Sus scrofa: one gene and its partners. The protein of the gene in region 1 purifies or fractionates together with the protein of each later gene. This does not show direct contact. Links are inferred from orthologs where the notes say so. Each region holds a gene or a part of one and is shown in the gene's direction. Other genes may lie near its edges.

What was found. Proteins that work in one complex are often made in the same cells at the same time.
Region 2: the proteins of SLBP (region 1) and MIF4GD purify together in Homo sapiens (affinity purification with western blotting; 3 studies listed by BioGRID and IntAct, with this or other methods). This does not show direct contact. The link is inferred for Sus scrofa from reciprocal best matches to the Homo sapiens genes SLBP and MIF4GD.
Region 3: the proteins of SLBP (region 1) and CTIF purify together in Homo sapiens (affinity purification with western blotting; 3 studies listed by BioGRID). This does not show direct contact. The link is inferred for Sus scrofa from reciprocal best matches to the Homo sapiens genes SLBP and CTIF.

Annotation. Positions count from the first base shown.
Region 1 is NC_010450.4:806,954-812,279, reverse strand, and holds part of SLBP (histone RNA hairpin-binding protein), read left to right. Parts: intron 1-666; coding exon 667-726; intron 727-1,282; coding exon 1,283-1,420; intron 1,421-3,100; coding exon 3,101-3,250; exon of another isoform or gene 3,251-4,955; coding exon 4,956-5,037; intron 5,038-5,326. UniProt on the Homo sapiens protein: RNA-binding protein involved in the histone pre-mRNA processing.
Region 2 is NC_010454.4:6,045,038-6,051,015, forward strand, and holds the start of MIF4GD (MIF4G domain-containing protein), read left to right. Parts: upstream 1-2,257; 5' UTR 2,258-2,441; intron 2,442-2,629; exon of another isoform or gene 2,630-2,856; intron 2,857-3,642; 5' UTR 3,643-3,686; coding exon 3,687-3,774; intron 3,775-4,928; coding exon 4,929-5,038; intron 5,039-5,240; coding exon 5,241-5,396; intron 5,397-5,497; coding exon 5,498-5,590; intron 5,591-5,978. UniProt on the Homo sapiens protein: Functions in replication-dependent translation of histone mRNAs which differ from other eukaryotic mRNAs in that they do not end with a poly-A tail but a stem-loop. May participate in circularizing those mRNAs specifically enhancing their translation.
Region 3 is NC_010443.5:98,131,351-98,137,203, forward strand, and holds the start of CTIF (CBP80/20-dependent translation initiation factor), read left to right. Parts: upstream 1-2,132; 5' UTR 2,133-2,264; intron 2,265-2,955; exon of another isoform or gene 2,956-3,280; intron 3,281-5,853. UniProt on the Homo sapiens protein: Specifically required for the pioneer round of mRNA translation mediated by the cap-binding complex (CBC), that takes place during or right after mRNA export via the nuclear pore complex (NPC).

The DNA of each region.
Region 1 (5,326 bases):
GGAGGGAAACGAGGTCCTTGTCCCCTGGCGTCCAGACTCGCTGGGCTGCCGCAGCGAACTTGGGAGGCGGGAGGGTTTTAGCTTTGGAAAGAGGCGCAGTCAGCTGCGTGAACCTCTGGCCGGAGGTGGTGCTCAGCTTCAGCATCAGCTTTTACTCCACTTTCTTTTCTGGTGTCACACCTTTGCAAAGCTGGGTGCTGGTGGATCCTGTATAGAAAGCAGATGCCTTGTGAAGTCGGCAAGGAAGGGGGGGCGTTCAGTCTCTTCCCGAGAAGGGGGGCAGTGCCCTGGAGGCACGCACGTCTGGTTGAGTACTTTTGGTATCGTAAAGAAAACTTCTGATTTCAACTCCCTGTTAGGTTTTTCCAAAGTCTCCGGGATTAGAGGGTGTAAATATCTTGGTGTTTGGATCTCACTACTTAAACAGAAACTGCTGGAGGACACGCAGGCCTGGAACCTGTTGCTTTAAGCACTTTCTGTGGTCTTGACGAGTAATTTTCAGCCCTGTGTCTGTTAGTCAGAGAAGGTGACTGCTGGAGGCGGAGCTCGAGAGAGCAGACCGCACCCTCAGAGGCTTTGTTCCTGTGTGTGTTTTAGCTCTGAAAGCCTTGCGGAAAGTTAACGTCTGTGCCTTTTTAAGAACAACAGCATGTGCTTCGCTCTCAGGTATAAGAGGAAACTCCTCGTCAATGACTTTGGAAGAGAGAGGAAATCCTCATCAGGAAGGTAAGTGCTGGGAATCGCTCCTGTCCTCATTTACTTATTTTGTCTTTCCAGGGCCGCTCCTGCAGCACTTGGAGGCTCCCAGGCTCGGGGTCGAATCGGAGCCGTAGCCGCCGGCCTGCAGCACAGCCACAGCAACTCGGGATCCGAGCCGCGTCTGACCCACACCAACCACAGCTCACGGCAACGCCGGATCCTTAACCCACCGAGCGGGGCCCGGGACCGAACCCGCACCCTCATGGTTCCTAGTCGGATTCGTTTCCACGGCACCACGACGGGAACTCCTCTTTTCTAATTTAATAGGCCTGTAATTTATTAATGAGAAAACTTGTGACTGCGGGAAGCTGCGTGTCTCGGTGCACTTACTGTGTTTCTCTTCTTCACTGCTGTTCGAATGTGGGCTCTTGTGTACCAAACTCCCACATGTTCAAAGACCGCGGCCTGGGCGGGTTGATGGGGTGTGGGACCCGCAGGGCAGATGCTCCGTTGTCGAGTCTCGGCGTTTCCTTCCACACTGGTCCTCACCGCCAGGCCCGTTCTGTTCATTTCACTGTCTTAGTTCCGACTCGAAGGAGTCTCTGTCTGCGCTGCCAGCTGACCTGGAGACTGACGAGAGCGTCCTGATGCGGAGACAGAAGCAGATCAACTACGGGAAGAACACCATCGCCTACGACCGCTACATCAAGGAAGTCCCAAGGTAGTCCTGCCCCGCGGCGCGGCGCCGCCTGCTCCCACGGGCCCTTGCCGTCTGGGTGCTCCGTCTGATTCTGCACGTCGCTCACACCTGCTAACAACTGTGTTGTTAAGGGCTTTCGGGCGCTTGTGTAAATGGGGTGAGTGGGCCGGCGGCTGAAAGACTGAGAACTCAAAGACAAAAGATGGAATGTTTTCGTAGTTTACAACGTTAGGTGACATTTCATTTCTTAAGACTCACAGCTGTCTTATAATTTGTTTTTTATTTTTTTTTTTGCCTTTTTTCTTTTTTCTTTTATTTTTTTTTGTCTTTTTGCTATTTCTTTGGCCACTCCTGCGGCATGTGGAGGTTCCCAGGCTAGGGGTCCAATCGGAGCTGTAGCCACCGGCCTACACCACAGCCACAGCAATGCAGGATCCGAGTCGCGTCTGCAACCTACACCACAGCTCACGGCAACACCAGATCCTCAACCCGTTGAGCAAGGGCAGGGATCGAACCCGCAACCTCATGGTTCCTCGTCGGATTTGTTAACCACTGCGCCATGACGGGAACACCTCTTTTTTTTTTTTTTTTTTTTTTTTTTTTGCTTTTTAGGGCTGCACCGAGGCATATGGAATTTCCCAAGCTAGGAGTCAACTGGAGCTGCAGCTGCCAGCGTACACCACAGCCACAGCCACGCGGAATCCAAGCTGCTTCTGCGACCTAGACCACAGCTCACGGCAACGCCAGATCCTTAACCCACTGAGCAGGGCCAGAGATGCAACCCAAGTCTTCATGGGTACTGGTCGAGTTTGTTGGCGCTGAGCTGTGACGCGAACTCCCAGTTTTTTTGTTCTTTTCATTTTTGGCCACCCACGGCATATGGAGCTCCCGGGCCAGGGATCAGATCTGAACCACAATTGAGACCTAAGCTGCAGCTGCAGCAACATTGGATCCTTAACCCACTGTGCTGGGCCCAGAGTCGAACCCGTGTTGCGGTGGTCCCAAGAGGCCGCAGATCCTATTGCGCTACAGTGGGAGCTCCGCAGCTTTCCTTTCTTTCTTTTTTTTTTTTGTCTTTTTGCCTTTTCCAGGGCCGCTTCCCACAGCACATGAAGGTTCCCAGGCTAGGAGTCGAATCGGAGCTGTAGTCTCCAGCCTACACCAGAGCCACAGCAACTCGGAATCCGAGCTGCGTCTGCGACCTACATCACAGCTCATGGCAACGCTGGATCCTTAACCCACTGAGCAAGGGCAGGGGTCTGAACCCGCAACCTCAGGGGGATTCGTTAACCACTGCGCCACGACGGGAACTCCATGCAGCTTTCTTATAAATGTAAAATTATGAAAATACGTGATGGAAAAAGTGAAGTTCAAATTACAGATGGTAAATATCTCACTAGAGAAAACCACGAGCATTGTCCCAGTTTGCGTAAGTGGCACCCTCCCGCCCCACAAGGACGGAGCTTTAGAGAGTGTGTCTGCTTCTGGCAGAACTGCAGGTCAGATGTACTTTTCTGCAGCCTAGATTGCAAAGAAATCGCGTCGCCAAGGACGTAGTGCTGGTTATCGGTTCCTTTGTTCGTTGTGTGGAATCTCACTGGTCTGTGGTTTTTAATGAGACTCATCTCGGAGTTTGTTCCTCTGGAAGCCAGTGTGCAGAAGTGAGAGGTGTGTGCCAGGACCGTTTCTCTCTCCTGTCAGGCACCTCCGACAACCTGGCGTTCATCCCAGGACTCCCAACAAGTTCAAGAAGTACAGTCGACGATCGTGGGACCAGCAGATCAAACTGTGGAAGGTGGCGCTGCATTTCTGGGACCCTCCAGCTGCCGAAGGGTGTGACTTGGAAGAAATGTATGTCTGTACTGCATTCTCCTCCCGCTCCTGCAGCTCCTGCAGTGACTGCAGAGGCCTTGTCACTTGGTCGTGGCGGGTTGTCCTGGCACAGTGTCCACCTGGATGTTCTGGGGGAGCAGAGCAGCCAGTGGTCACAGTTTCATGTCCCTTTTCTCTGCACAAGTGTGTGAAGCCTGGGCTCTGGGCGGGCTCGGGGGAGGAGGGTGCTTCCTGGGTTGAATTCACTTTGCAGCTGGGGAAATTGATTGCAATAAACCTAGAGATATGTGGGGGTTCTGTTTGTTCCTAAGATAAACTTTTTTTTTGTCTTTTGAGGGCTGCACCACAGCACATGGAAGTTCCCAGCCTAGAGGTCGAATCGGAGCTGGGCCTACGCCACAGCCACAGCCACAGCCACATGGGATCCAAGCCACATCTGCCATCTACACCACAGTTCACAGCAATACCGGATCCTTAACCCACTGAGCAGGGCCAGGGATTGAACCTGCGTCTCATGAATACTAGTTGGGCTATGACTGTTAAGCCAAAATGGGAACTCCCAGCTTTTATCTCTTTAAGCTGCATCTAGTTGGGAAGATCTCAGGCTTGTTTCTGCCACGTGGTCAGGGTGCTGGGTGGACACAGAGGCAGAGAGAGCCTGGGCTCTGCAGCCTCTCTTCTCAACTCCCTTTTGGCTGCGCCTGTGGCCTATGGGGGGACCTGAGTCAGGGATTGAATCTGAACTCCACCTGGCCACAGCCGCAGCAGCGCTGGGTCCTTAACCCACCGTACTGGGCTGGGGGTTGAACCTGCACCGCCACAGAGACAAGGCGGGATCGTTAACCTGCTGTGTCACAGTGGGAGCTGTGGCTGCCGGCTTACACCCCCAGCTCCCTTCTGACCCAAACCTCTCTCTCCCTCACAGACACGTTTATTCTCGTGAATGTGTGAGTTTTGCTCTGTGCCAGGGAAATTTACTGGGAAACTTTTTTTTTTTTTTTTTTTTTTTTGGTCTTTAGGGCCACACCCACCGCACATGGAGGTTCCAGGCTAGGGGTCGAATTGGAGCTGTAGCCGCCGGCCTGCACCACAGCCACAGCAATGCGGGATCTGAGCCGCGTCTGTGACCTACATACACCACAGCTCACAGTAACGTCGGATCTCTAACCCTCTGAGTGAGGCCAGGGATTGAACCCACAACCTCCTGGTTCCTAGTCGGATTCATTAACCACTGAGCCACGACGGGAACTCCAGCAACTGTCATGTTGAAACAGCGTCCAACCTGTTCTCAGACTTGGGCTCGCCAGCGTCACTCGCTCTTGTCCAGCTTGTCCCTCTTCCCGTCTCCTCATGCGGAGGGAGTTGGAAGCATCAGCGACTGTGTGTGGTGTGGTTTCTCAGTGTTCTTCTCCCCCCACACTTACTGTTTATGCTTCCGCTCCCAAGGATGCTCGTGGGCGCCTGTGGGTCGCCGCTGCCGTCGAGGACGGGCAGGTTGCTGTCTGCTCTGGGCCTCCTGCCTGCAGTAACTGCTGCCGCCTTGCCTCTCCTCTGGGTGGCCCGGGCAGGGCTGAGTCTGGACGTGGGTGTCGCTGGGGCCTGTGGTCCCTCGGGGAGCTAGGAGGTGCTTGGCGGGGGGTGTCGGGCAGCGAGGCTTTGGTGCGCTGGTTTGCGGAGGGTGGGCCTGCCTGGCTCTGCTGACGTGCCTGCTTTCTCTGCGCAGACATCCCGTGGACCTCGGGGAGATGGAGACGGACTCGGCGGGAAGCAGCTCCGAGTCCCAGGCGAGCTCGCAGGATAACCTGGTGAGCCCCCCGAGGCGCTCTGCGCGGGCGTTTCCGGCTCGTGGTGGACTGGGTGCTTCTTGGGAGACAGGCTGCCACCGATGTCGACGCGGATGCTCGTGAAGAAGGGGCGCCGTACCCCTTTCTCTGTGAAATGTCAGACTTGACGGTGTTCATAGGCGGGGGCCTTGCTTTCGACCTGGGCTCGTCTGACCAACCCTCGTGGCGGCGGGTGAGAGCGAGGCCCTGTCGCTGGTGCCAGTTTCAGGCTGTACGGTTTGTGCCGGCGTGTGGCTAGGCCAGGAGTCAC
Region 2 (5,978 bases), on another chromosome or scaffold:
GACTCGATCCACAGTCTCGGGTTGTGCTGCGATCAGGTGCTGCCTGGACCCTGCTCCAGGCCAGCTGTCCTGACCACGAAGAGCTGGGCAGGAGCCGTAACTCCACCAGCTCGGACGCCACCAGGAGGGCAGAGGCGTTTCTCCACGCGACAGCATTTTCCTTGGTCTGCGGGAACCTGACCCTGCCCGTCAGAAGCTGGAAGCTGCCACCTGGCACAGACTCTAAGGGCAACAGCTGCCCTCCTGCATGTCTTACCTCGTCTGCCCGGAGAACTCTCCCGGCTCTGGGCGGAGCCGCAGCCCCCGTGTGAGGCAGGGATCCAGCCCTTTCCAGGGTCTGGTCCCCACACTTGACTTCTCTCTCCCACCGACTCACTTAATAGACATCAAGGCTGGAAGCAGGCTCCGTATCTTCTCTCCATCGCCCCATCCATCACATCCTTCACAAAGGAGGAGGGAAGGGAGCCCTGCTCGCCACTTGTAATTTTTTTTTCCTTTTCTAATTTTACTTTTATTTATTCATTTTTTTGTTATTTTCTTCTCTTATTTTTTTTTCCTACTTTCCTGAATTCTATTTTTCTCAGCATTTGCATCCCCCAGGCAGCTTTGCTTTTGCTCCTGGGTGAAGAATCCCAGCTGCGTTGCTCCTTTTATAAACCCAGCCAGGCTCAAATCTTCATGTCTAGAAGGCATCATTGGGCCTTCCTGTTGTGGCTCAGCAGGTTAAGAACCCAACTAGTATCCGTGAGGATGTGGGTTCGATCCCTAACCTCGCTCAGCGGGTTAAGGATCTGGCATTGCCATGAGCTGTGGTGTAGGTCACAGATGTGGCCAGGATCTGGCGTTGCTGTGGCTGTGGTGTAGGCTGGCGGCTACAGCTCCCATTAGACCCCCAGCCTGGGAACTTCAATATGCTGTGGATGCTGTGGGAGTGGCCCTAAAAAAAAGCTCATCATCACTCACTTCTCTCTCTGGGCAGGCCTGGCCCCAGCCTGTGGGCCTTGAGGGAAAGCAGATACTAAGCAGCCCTGCAGACTGGGGGGATGTGCTACGGGGAGGGGGTGTGGGTAAAGGCAGCACCCCTTTTCCCTGGTCTACCGGGGATCACCCCTCTTTCACTGGGGGGCTGGGTCAGCTCTCCTGGGTGGGTGGGAGCCTACAGCTGAGCCACTGGGCAGCCGCTGCCTGCTCAGGCTGCTCCTCCTGGGTCCAGCAAGGCGTTGTGTGCGTCCTCTGTAATCCCAGAAGGAAGGGGTTGAACAGGCAGCCTGGTGCGAGCACAGCTGGTGCCCTGGAGTCTTCAGGGCACAGGGGTTTGAGAGGTGAAGAAAATCTACAGAACATAACCACCACCTCCCCCCCAGGTCTCCTCACGCCCAGGCCCCCAGGGGAGCTCGGCCTGAGGGGTTGGCCCTGCAGAGGGAGCCCCACGCTGGCCTCACCTCGGCTCTAGCTCCAGCCTTCTTCCTAGCATGTGGTCTTGGGGGCTGTCACGGCTCTCAGTCCCTCTGGATCCTGGGCTCCTGCACGCCGTTACTGCTTCATCTCTGGTCTGGGGTTTTGTGATGTGTCTGGGACCCAGAATCCTGAAGCTGTCCTGCTCTTGGCAGCTGTGGCTGGGGGGCCCCCACACCCACAGGGGTTTGGCAGTCAAGGCTTGGGGCTACAGGGAGGCAGCTGCCTGAATGTATTTTTTATGAAATTCCATTGAAGTGAACTTGATTCTGAGATTCTGCTGAGACTGTCTTCCTTGTTCATTTTCTGCTGACCAGCTTGACAGGAGAGAGCTTTGGATACAGAAAACCGCCATGGACACTTCTTGTCTAATCGATGGGACAAGGCAGTTCTTTGCCAGCCTCTTCTGTGTGCCCTCCTGCAACCCAGGGCTGACCTCAGGGGTGGCCCTGTCTGGACTGCTGCGCCCCGTGCCTCCCCCCAGCCCCAACCAAGACAGACTGAGCCAGGGGGCTTGCGCAACCTCAGGGTCACTCCTAACACCTCCCCTCTGCAAGCTGGCACCTGGGACCCTTTCTCTTGGGTTAGCCCATTGATTTTCAACTAGTTTTACCATTAAATAGCGTGTGTATTTGGAGTAGGAGAGGGGCTTAATGGGACTCGATCCGGCCCTTACCACCTTCCCGCTCTCACCTTGAGAGGTGGGGTGGGGGTAAAAGTGCCACCACCTGCGAAGTCCTGCCCCTCCAGCCATCCTCTCGGCCCTCCCACCCCCCGGGCTGAAGGCCACGCCCCCCGCAGGCTCCTCCCACACCGCGCGGCCAGGCGAGTCTCCTGACCCCGTTTTAACCTGAGCCCTGGTGTGGGGGCGGGGCGAAGGGGGGGGTGCCAGCGCTCAAGACCGAGGGCTTCATGCCGGCCGCGGAGCACATCGGGCCCAACGCCGAGCAGCCGTTGTGGTCCCGGACAGGCCGTGGGAGAACCAGGTGAGGAGAGGATAGCGGCGGTGGGAGCAGGGTCACCGGCGTCCTGCCTGGCTCCAAGCTCCGAACTTCCGGGCGTGCCCGGTGGCGCGGCGGGGGCAGCGTCGTCGGGGCTCCGGCAGGTGGCGTCGGCGAGGCGGCCGGGCCAGGCCCCGCCCCCCTGCCCTGGGCCCCGCCCCGCCCCCTGCACTAGGAAGTGACCTAAGCGGCAGCAAGGCGCGGCCGGCCTCGCCAGCAGCGCCGCGGGCGCGGGCCGCGCGCACCATGCCAGCCGGACGGCCTCTGGGCACGCGGGCGCGGCGCCGGCGTGGCAGGTGGGTCCTGGCGCTCCCACCATCTCTCCACCCCACGGGACACCGGACGGTGGGCTGCGCTGAGCCGCCGGGAAGGGCGTTCCGAGCTTAGGGAAGCTGCCCAGGTCTGGAGAACCCTAAGGCTATCTCCGAGTCCGGAAAGGGGGGACCACTCCTGGAAGATACGTAATCCCGCTCCCCTCCTTAAGAGAAAGGATCTAGAATGGAACTGAGGAACTGGGAATCCTGGGTGGGCCAGGCTGAGTCTCTACCACTCAGGAGGCCAGTTTAACCAGTCCATCCTGGGGAGAAGCTGGCCAGGAAAGGGGGCGTCAGGGCGGCAGAGACGCTTCTGCGCCCAGCCCTCTGGCCAGCCTTATCCCGTGGGTTGGAGGGGTGGGCTCTCTGGACCGAGGACTTTGACTAAGGTTGAGTTGGGGAGAGGGGCTTGGAACTTTGCAGGGACAGAGCTGTCCACAGCGTGGAGCCTGTAGCCATCTCACTCGCTGAGAATCATGCTGGACCAGCAGCTTCCAGACCGGCGTATATAGGCAGGAAAAGTGTCCAATTATCGACCTCTTCATCCCCCCAGCCCATCACACCCCACCTCACCCCAGCCTTGGTGTCAGCTGAGAATAATCCTGCCTCCTGCTGGGGCTGGAGAGTAGAGGTCTCTTTCCTCTTGTGTAATCCCAGAAGCTGCAGGGCTTCTTTAACTGAGCAGCAGGTGCCTGGCCAGCCTCACCACCAGAAGCCAAGCTTTGTGGGCACCTAACCAAGCCCTGAATGCCAAAGACTGCCCAGGAGCACCTGTCCCAAGCACTGGCCAGTTCTGCCCAGGGCACATAGGGCTGGGAACCCTGGCGCCACGCTCCACACCCAAGGCCTCTCCCTTCGCTGCTCCTCCCCAGGTGCTGTCACTCATCCCACCCCAGTAAAGAGCACCTGAGGCTGGATGGTCATGGGGGAGCCTGGTAGAGAGGAGTACAGAATCCAGTCTTTTGATGCAGAGAGCCAGCAGCTGCTGAAGACAGCACTCAAAGGTGAGCGCGGGGAGCCTCCCGAGCCTGGGTCCAGAGCTACACAGAAGGGCCCAGGGGGACAGGACCGGAGGACTGAGCCGTAACGCCCAGGCCTCTCCCTTCAGTTTCTGAGAATGGGAGTCAGCAACATAATTCTGGAACTGGAAGACAAGCCCATGTAGGCCAGTATTTGGGAGTATGAATCATAGAGTCACCCTTCCAATCATAAAGCTTTTTTTTTTTTTTTTTTTTTTGTCTTTTTTTGCCATTTCTTGGGCCGCTCCTGTGGCATATGGAGTTTCCCAGGCTAGGGGTCTAATCGGAGCTGTAGCCACCAGCCTACACCAGAGCCACAGCAACGTGGGATCCGAGACGTGTCTGCGACCTACACCACAGCGCACGGCAACGCCGGATCCTTTAACTCACTAAGCAAGGCCAGGGACTGAACCCGCAACCTTATGGTTCCTAGTTGGATTCGTTAACCACTGCGCCACGACGGGAACTCCATAAAGCGTTTTTTTAAAAGGTTACGTACGCAGGACAGGAGGGCGAGGCACAGAGGACGCAGTTCCTGCCCTTCAAGCCCTTACACAGGACCTGGTTTCTGTGTTGCTGCAAGCAGCTCTCTTCCGTGTGCAGCACCGCCTGACCTGGGACAGAGGATGGAGTGTTCTGCTTGGCAGAGGAGGAAAGTAGTGGTCCTGGACCCGTGCCTTCTGCAGCACTCAGGACAGAAGTTTGCCTCAGCTAACGATTAGCGATGCCTATCACATGCCAAGCTAAGCCTCTGGGGAGGCCCCGCCTGGCCCGCTCTTGTCGGGGGCTCATGTGTGCATTGTGAGAACACTTCCTTTGGTGGACGGCTGTCAAAGACATTGTTATTCAGGGTTCCGTCCTCACCCTTGTGCCAGGAAAAGATGTGTCCTAAAAACCCAGCATCTTCCATTCCCTAACAGCTGCGTAACCCTCCCTGTTTCCGCTGATTGGGCCACCCTAGGAGGCTCATGGCCAGAGCTGCTCCTGCGTGCGGTTTCCTTTCTGTTCTCTGGTCTCTTTAAATGGAAGGGCGTCACGGGAGTGCTCGCTCTTCTGCGAACATCACGAGCCTTTAGAAGCAGGTGGAGGCAAATGTGATAATTAAGCACCCCGAGATTCCCCACCTGTCTTTACCCTAGATCCAGGTGCCGTGGACTTGGAGAAGGTGGCCAATGTGATTGTGGACCATTCTCTGCAGGACTGTGTGTTCAGCAAGGAAGCAGGACGCATGTGCTACGCCATCATTCAGGTTGGGTGGGGTTGGTACAGCAGAGGGGAGACGCTTGGAGGAAGGTGCTTCAGAGGTGGGCAGAGGCCTGGCTAGCCAGGCAGCGATGCACAGGGCTGGCCTCAGAGGCACAAGAGGACAGCAGGGGCCTCAGCTTTAGAAGCTTGGGTGGAATTGTGACAGCACTGTCACGCCCCTTCACCAGCCTTTCTCCCACTCACAGGCGGAGAGCAAGCAAGCTGGCCAGAGTGTCTTCCGCCGCGGACTCCTCAACCGGCTGCAGCAGGAGTACCAGGCTCGGGAGCAGCTTCGAGCACGATCCCTGCAAGGCTGGGTCTGCTACGTCACCTTTATCTGCAACATCTTTGACTACCTGAGGGTGAGGGCCCCCCCACCCCCACCAGCCACATCCCGTGCAACAGAGATGGCCTGTCTCCTGTGCCACCAAGCCAGTGCTGTGGCGCTCACTCTCCCCCGCAGGTGAACAACATGCCCATGATGGCCCTGGTGAACCCGGTCTACGACTGCCTCTTCCGGCTGGCCCAGCCGGACAGTCTGAGCAAGGAGGAGGAGGTGGGTGGCCTGGGCACGGAAGCCTGGGGAGGTAGTCTTTGGCGCAGCTCACTGTCCATGGAGACTTTCGAGGGCATCACTTGCTGGGCAGGAGCTTGGTGGGGGCATGTAAGGCCTGTCACAGTTACAGGGGAAGTTGCTAGGTCTGGAATCCATCCAGAGCAGAGAACAGCCAAAGCCTCCTGGCTCAGAGGCTGCCTTCCCAGTAGGAAGGCCAACCTATGATAGGAATGGTGAGCATCAGCCAGCTGAGGGTACAGGTGGCCCAGAAACCAAATAGGGGGAGGGGTGGGGAGTAGGATTAAGAAGCAGTTTGGAGGAGTTCCCATCATGGCACAGTGGAAATGAATCCAGCTAGGACCCATGAGGTTGCTCAGTGGGTCAAGGA
Region 3 (5,853 bases), on another chromosome or scaffold:
TCATGCTTGAGATTCAAGCTGAAGGGTCAGGCTGACTCTTGAGTCTCTGCTGTCCCCCCTGGTCCCCTCACTGCAGGCACAGCCCCCAAACAGAGGCGTGCACTCTCCAGGGATGTTTTGCATGCTGCACATTGCTCAGCCTTTCCTCACCTCTGGGAGTGGATCCTGTTGTCACCTCTGGGGTGTGATTTAAAGCAAAGGCAAAACCAAGACCCAGACAATTCCATTCTTGTTTCTTTACAGGCAGCATGCCTATCACCCAATGTGCAAAACAGCATTGACGACAAAAAGTAGGTAAATGGGAATCTGTTGAGTGGCTAGATTCCAGTACTGTTGCTTTATATTTTGTAAACCTAGGAAATCATTCAGATGTCAAAGCACAAAAATAACTGTGGAGCCTATGAGGCATAAATGCTAAGAGGGAGGGACCCACCAGCGGAAAGAGTCAGGTGTGCTTAAGTGTGTTCCTTTGGCCTGGGGACTGGGACTGGCACCCAGACAACTAGCTTCTGGTACCCACTCTGCCTATCACAAATGTGCAACTCCGTGCCTGCTGCCTTCCTCTAGAAGGGAGAAGATGACCTCCCTCCATGCCCTTTGATGCAAGAGTCAAATGAGCTGCTCTACTGGATGTGACTGGATGTTGCTTTGCTTGCCTTTGATGGCTTGGTGCATTCTGAGCCTGGAGCCAAGAACACATGCTCTCCACTCTCAAAGAAATCCCACCATTTCTTCAAAGGCCCACGGCAAACCCCATCTCTGGCAAAAAGCCATCCTAGGCTCCTTTTGCCCTCTAGACCCACCCTTCATCCCTGAGCCTCCTTTTGGGGTCCCTGCCCTCTTCTGCCCTGCCAAACTGCTGGGACTTGCATAATTTGCTCTCTTATCTCTCATACGGAGACTTTATACCCTGTAGCCTTAGTCAGAGGCCTACCGCATCCTTTGCCTTGTTAAAAATTTTAGTATTTTTAGCTACAGTACTACTTACTTCTTCCAGGAAGACTTCCTTGACCCTCTCCCACCTGCAGCCACCCTCCATCCTGAGAGATACCTGGCACTTTATGCTTATTCTCATGTTAAGTGTTGACTTACTCTACTTTCCTTGTCTGTGGTCCTTAACCAGATGTTGAGCTCCTTAAGGGCAGGAATCGAGGCTCTGTCTTGGCAGTCCCAGAACTATCCCATCTGTGAAAAATACCCACCAAATGTTACATGACGTAGTACATGATTTTCTTTGATTATATTGTCACACAGTTCCTCCCCCGAGTTTATAATCCCCTTGCCTGGAGGGTGTGCAGCATCATATGTTTCTCTAGAAGGCTCAGTGCCTAGCACCTAGTAGGTACTTGGAAAACACTGGTGATTTGGTTAAGTGATTACTGAATTATCCATTGCATTGAATTCTCCCTGCTTTAGCCCTTGCCATGGCCAATGGAAAATTAATTGGTTGCAAAGTGCATATCTAATTACAACATCCCACCCCTGCCACTGAGATGTTCAAATGTTAATTATAACATATGCATCTCAATAACAGACGTTAGCATTTAATACAGCGTTAATAACTACACTTGGGCAGCCCAATGCGTACACAAAGCTCCCTTTTATCTGCCATTAGTACGGACTTAGCACTTAAAGTAAGGAAGTCCACATCCTTAAAACTGGTCTGGTCCCTAAAACCCAATGTTATCCTGCAAGCCTGGACCGCGCCTAAGCCCCCAGTTCTCCCCACGCAGAGGTTCCCATCCAAGGCCGTGCCAAGGTCGTGAGGGGAGCCGGGTTTGGTCGGCCGGTTTTGGGGTGGCTAGACTGGGCTATCTAGGCTGCTCAGGCGGCATCCCCGGCTTCCCCGCGGCGTCCCGCTCTCCAGGGCCCGCCATCCCGGGAAAGAAAGGAGAACTACATTACCCAGCAGGCCTCCCGCCGCCCTCTTTCCTTTCGAGTCTTTGCACGTGGCCGGAGGGGAGGGCGGGGACTGGACGTCACTCTTCAACATTCTCTTTCCCTGTGTCAGAGCAGGGATCATTTTTTTTCCTTCCTTTACTCCCTCCCCCCTACCCGCCCCTCCCTCCCTCTTTCCCTTCCCTCCCTCCCTCCCCTCTCTGCTGGGTTGGTGCGCTGGGGCGCCGGAGCCCCTCCGCTGCCCGGACGCACGGAACTCGAGGCAGGAGTAGGCTCTCCCGAGCCTGCTCCCTCCCTTCTCCTTCCCTGCCCCCTTCCCCCACCCCCCGGCTCGGGCTCGGAGCGGCGGCCAGAGGAACCCCGAGGTGAGCATCCCCCTGCCCGCCCCCCTCTTTTAGTCATCTCCGCTTGCGGGTCGATTCGGGGACCCGAGAGGACGGCTGCGTGACGTGCGCGTGCTTATAGATAAATCCGGGAAAACCGCCCCAAACAATTCGCCCCCTTCCCCCCTCCCTGAGTCCGGGGCGGCCAGGCGTCCGCGCCCATCCGTGGTCCCCGCCTCTGTAGAGGACCGCACTACGCGGTCTCGCCCCCTCCTCAGGTTTGCTGCTTCTCCGCAGGGTTCCCCGCCGGTAGGGGAGCCGAAGCCCTGGAGCTCCTGTGAGGAGGGGGGTTCTTGGCGGGGGGGCGCTCGGCTGGAGCTCGGCTCGCGTTGGAGCCGCGCGTTGTAGCCGCTGTCATGTGCCGGATTCCGACCCGTGGGGGGGGGAGGAAGAGAGCGAGCGTGATTCCTCTCCCTTTTGTTTTGAAGCCCGCATTTGCTGCATCAAGCAGTTGGTTTAGTAGCGGCCAAACTTGCAGCTGTTTTGACCGCGCTCCGCTGAGGTAGGGAGCGCAGCTCCGGGTGGCGGCTCCCGGCCGGAGGCTGCTGCGCTCGCGGCTCCCGGAGGGACCCGGAGAGAATGTCTCCTCGCTGCCCCTCCCTCCTTCGGTGACTGATTGTGTCAGTGGCAGCGGCCGCGTGTGAATGTGTGTGCGCGCCCGTCCCCGCGGGCGCGGGGATGTCTGTCGTCTAGACAGGCTGCTCCCTCCCTCCGTCCCTGGTGAGCCCGCGGGCCGCGGGGGGCGTGGGGGATGGGAGCAGAGGAGGAAACTGGATCGGTGGATCCATTGCAGTCGCAGCTTTGGACATTCCCCGCAGCGGTGATTGTGTTGGCTTATTTATTATTATTCTTGTCGCCGCTGTGTATCTGGGCCTAGGGAATAGATCCATCGGCGGAGCAGGGGTTAAGTTGACAGGCTCTGAAAAACCAGCTCGCGGTGGAGCTGGTGACCCAAGCCGGAGCGGAGTGGGCTCCAGCTCGGGTTCTTCAGCGAGCAGGTGACTGTCCTGAACACCGGCTTGGGGCGGGGGGGGAGGGTGCGGTGGCTGGTCTGCTGCTGCGGTCTGGTGCTCCTTAGGGCCGCGTACCCGAGCCTGGGGGCACCTGGGGGAGGCGTCCCGGGAACCGCGCATCTGAGTTGGGTACGTCTCTCCATTGACATTAAATGACACTCCGGGGTCTGAGCCCCTCATCTGGGCGGTGTTGGCTCTTCGGTTTCGTGGAGTTTTCAGGGTTGGGGTCGGGGGACAGATGTGAGCAGAGAGGGAGGTGCGGCGTGTAAAGGGAGGGATGGTTGGCGGCGCGGTGTGCATCCCCATCCCGGAGAGTGAGGCGTCGCCTCCCCCGCCCAGCTGTTTGTGTGTGTACACACCGCTCCGGCTTGGGGCGGGGGCGGGGACTGCAGAGAGCGGCGTAGTGGGGACGCGAGTGGGCCCCGATACCCCACGGGGATCGGTCCCGCCAGGGCTCGTCGTCTTGTGTCTGTTCGCGCTCGCGCCGGGGGTTACTTGGAGAGGGGGGCGTGCGGCTGGGGGCCCGGGGAGACCCTGGAGTTGCGTGTACGCGGAGTCAGTGAGGGAGTCCCTGGCCAGAGAGGTGCGACGGTCTCTCCCTTCGCAGCCCGGAAGTCCCCCTGACCCGGCGAGCTGACTGCCTACTCCGAGTCGCTGGGGACTGGTCTGGTGGGGCCTGGAGGAGTCTCGGGCGTGCGCGTGTCGCACTCCCACCCCCTCTCGGTTGACCCTTGGCCGGAGGCGCTCTGTGGGTGCGCGTGCCCGCGCCTGCCGCTACCTTCGCAGCTGGAGAGAATCAACATGCTATGCCCCACCCCCCTCCCAATTTTTCGTGCTGGAGATAGTGCGGGCCAAAGGCTGCCTGGCCTGCGCGGCCCCGGGCCCAGCCCCGCGCTGCCTTCTGCGCCGCTGCGGGGTGTTCGGCCTTGTGCACGCCTTTGCGGGCTCCGTTCTCTCCGCGCTGGGTCTCTGCGGCCGGGTGATTATCTCCCAGGCTAGGGGCCCGCGAGCTAAGGGAGGAAGCTGCTGGAGCTGCGGGCTTCACCGCGGCTGAAGGCTCCCGAGGGCGAAAGTGACACAGCACGAGCGCCACTGCTGCGGATCTGGAGGGGAGAGGAAGGAGCCGCCCAGAGGGCGGGGAGGGGCTGCAGGCTGTCCAGCCCGGTTCCTCCTGTCCACGCGGGGCCTGGGCAAAAACCTCAGGGATCCCTGCTACGAGCATGCTCGCATCGTGCGAGAAAATTGGCTTTCAGGAAACCCAATTATACTGGAACAGAACGCACCGAGCAGAGGTTATAAAATGTTCAGCCCTTCACAGAAGGCATTAAGGTTGCCTGAGGAAGCTCCCTTTGAATGTTTGAGACAGGATTCGATTTGCACACAGATCATCTCATCTTTGTCAAGTATCTGTCCTGGGTCATGTATACTTGGAGGCAGTAATTTTGTAAAGCATTTTGGGTACAGTGTCATCAGTGATTAACACATTGCTAGGATAATAATATGTTTGTGTGACTTTACAGGGCGCCCCCCCATCATATTTATTAAGAGGGCCCCATGAGGTGGAGGGGTATTAACCCCCCCCTTTACAGAATAGAACACTGAGGCTCAAAAAATGATGCAACTTGCCCTAAGCCTTTCTGTAATTTTTTTTTTTGGTCTTTTTTTTTTTGCTATTTCTTTGGGCCGCTCCCGCAGCATATGGAGGTTCCCAGGCTAGGGGTTGAATCGGAGCTGTAGCCATTGGCCTACGCCAGAGCCACAGCAACGCGGGATCCGAGCCGTGTCTGCAACCTACACCACAGCTCACAGCAACGCCGGATCGTTAACCCACTGAGCAAGGGCAGGGATCGAACCCGCAACCTCATGGTTCCTAGTCGGATTTGTTAACCACTGCGCCACGACGGGAACTCTCCTTTCTGTAATTTCACATATCAGCCTATGGCTTTTAATCTAAATAGTGGCCACCTTTTTTTGCTTTCTTTTCTTTTTCAGAGTAGGTCTTGATACCTGTGGAAGTACTGAACCTGAGAAGGGGGGTGAATTATGGTATTTATTTTTTGTCAGAAACACTTTTGATTTGCTACATGTCCTAACAAGAATAGGTCATTAAAGAACAGAAGTCTGCATTGCTGTTATTATCACTCATCTGATAATTTGCTTTTGGTGAATGATCGAATTATCGGCTTTGGAACACCCCGTATTTACAAAATTATACCTGTATATAATAAATACATCTGGATACATGTTTCTCCCACACATGTGGGTGTGTTCATGGGGTCCTTATTGAAGCCAAGGTTTATTCTTTAGTTCCTTGATTCTAAAACCATAGATTTAAAGTAGCTCCTGAGAAACCACCCAGCTTCTACTCCCTGTGCCCTGCATCTCCAGGGATAGGGAAGCCTTGAAAAGAACAAAGAGCTCCTACGTACCTGTGTATATTTCTCAGTTCGTGCACATGAAAGCTCTCAGACACAGCCTGGAGAATTATTGGGTTTGTCCCGATAATCAACTATTCATTCACAGATATATATTGAGCACCCACATGTTTGTGTATCTCG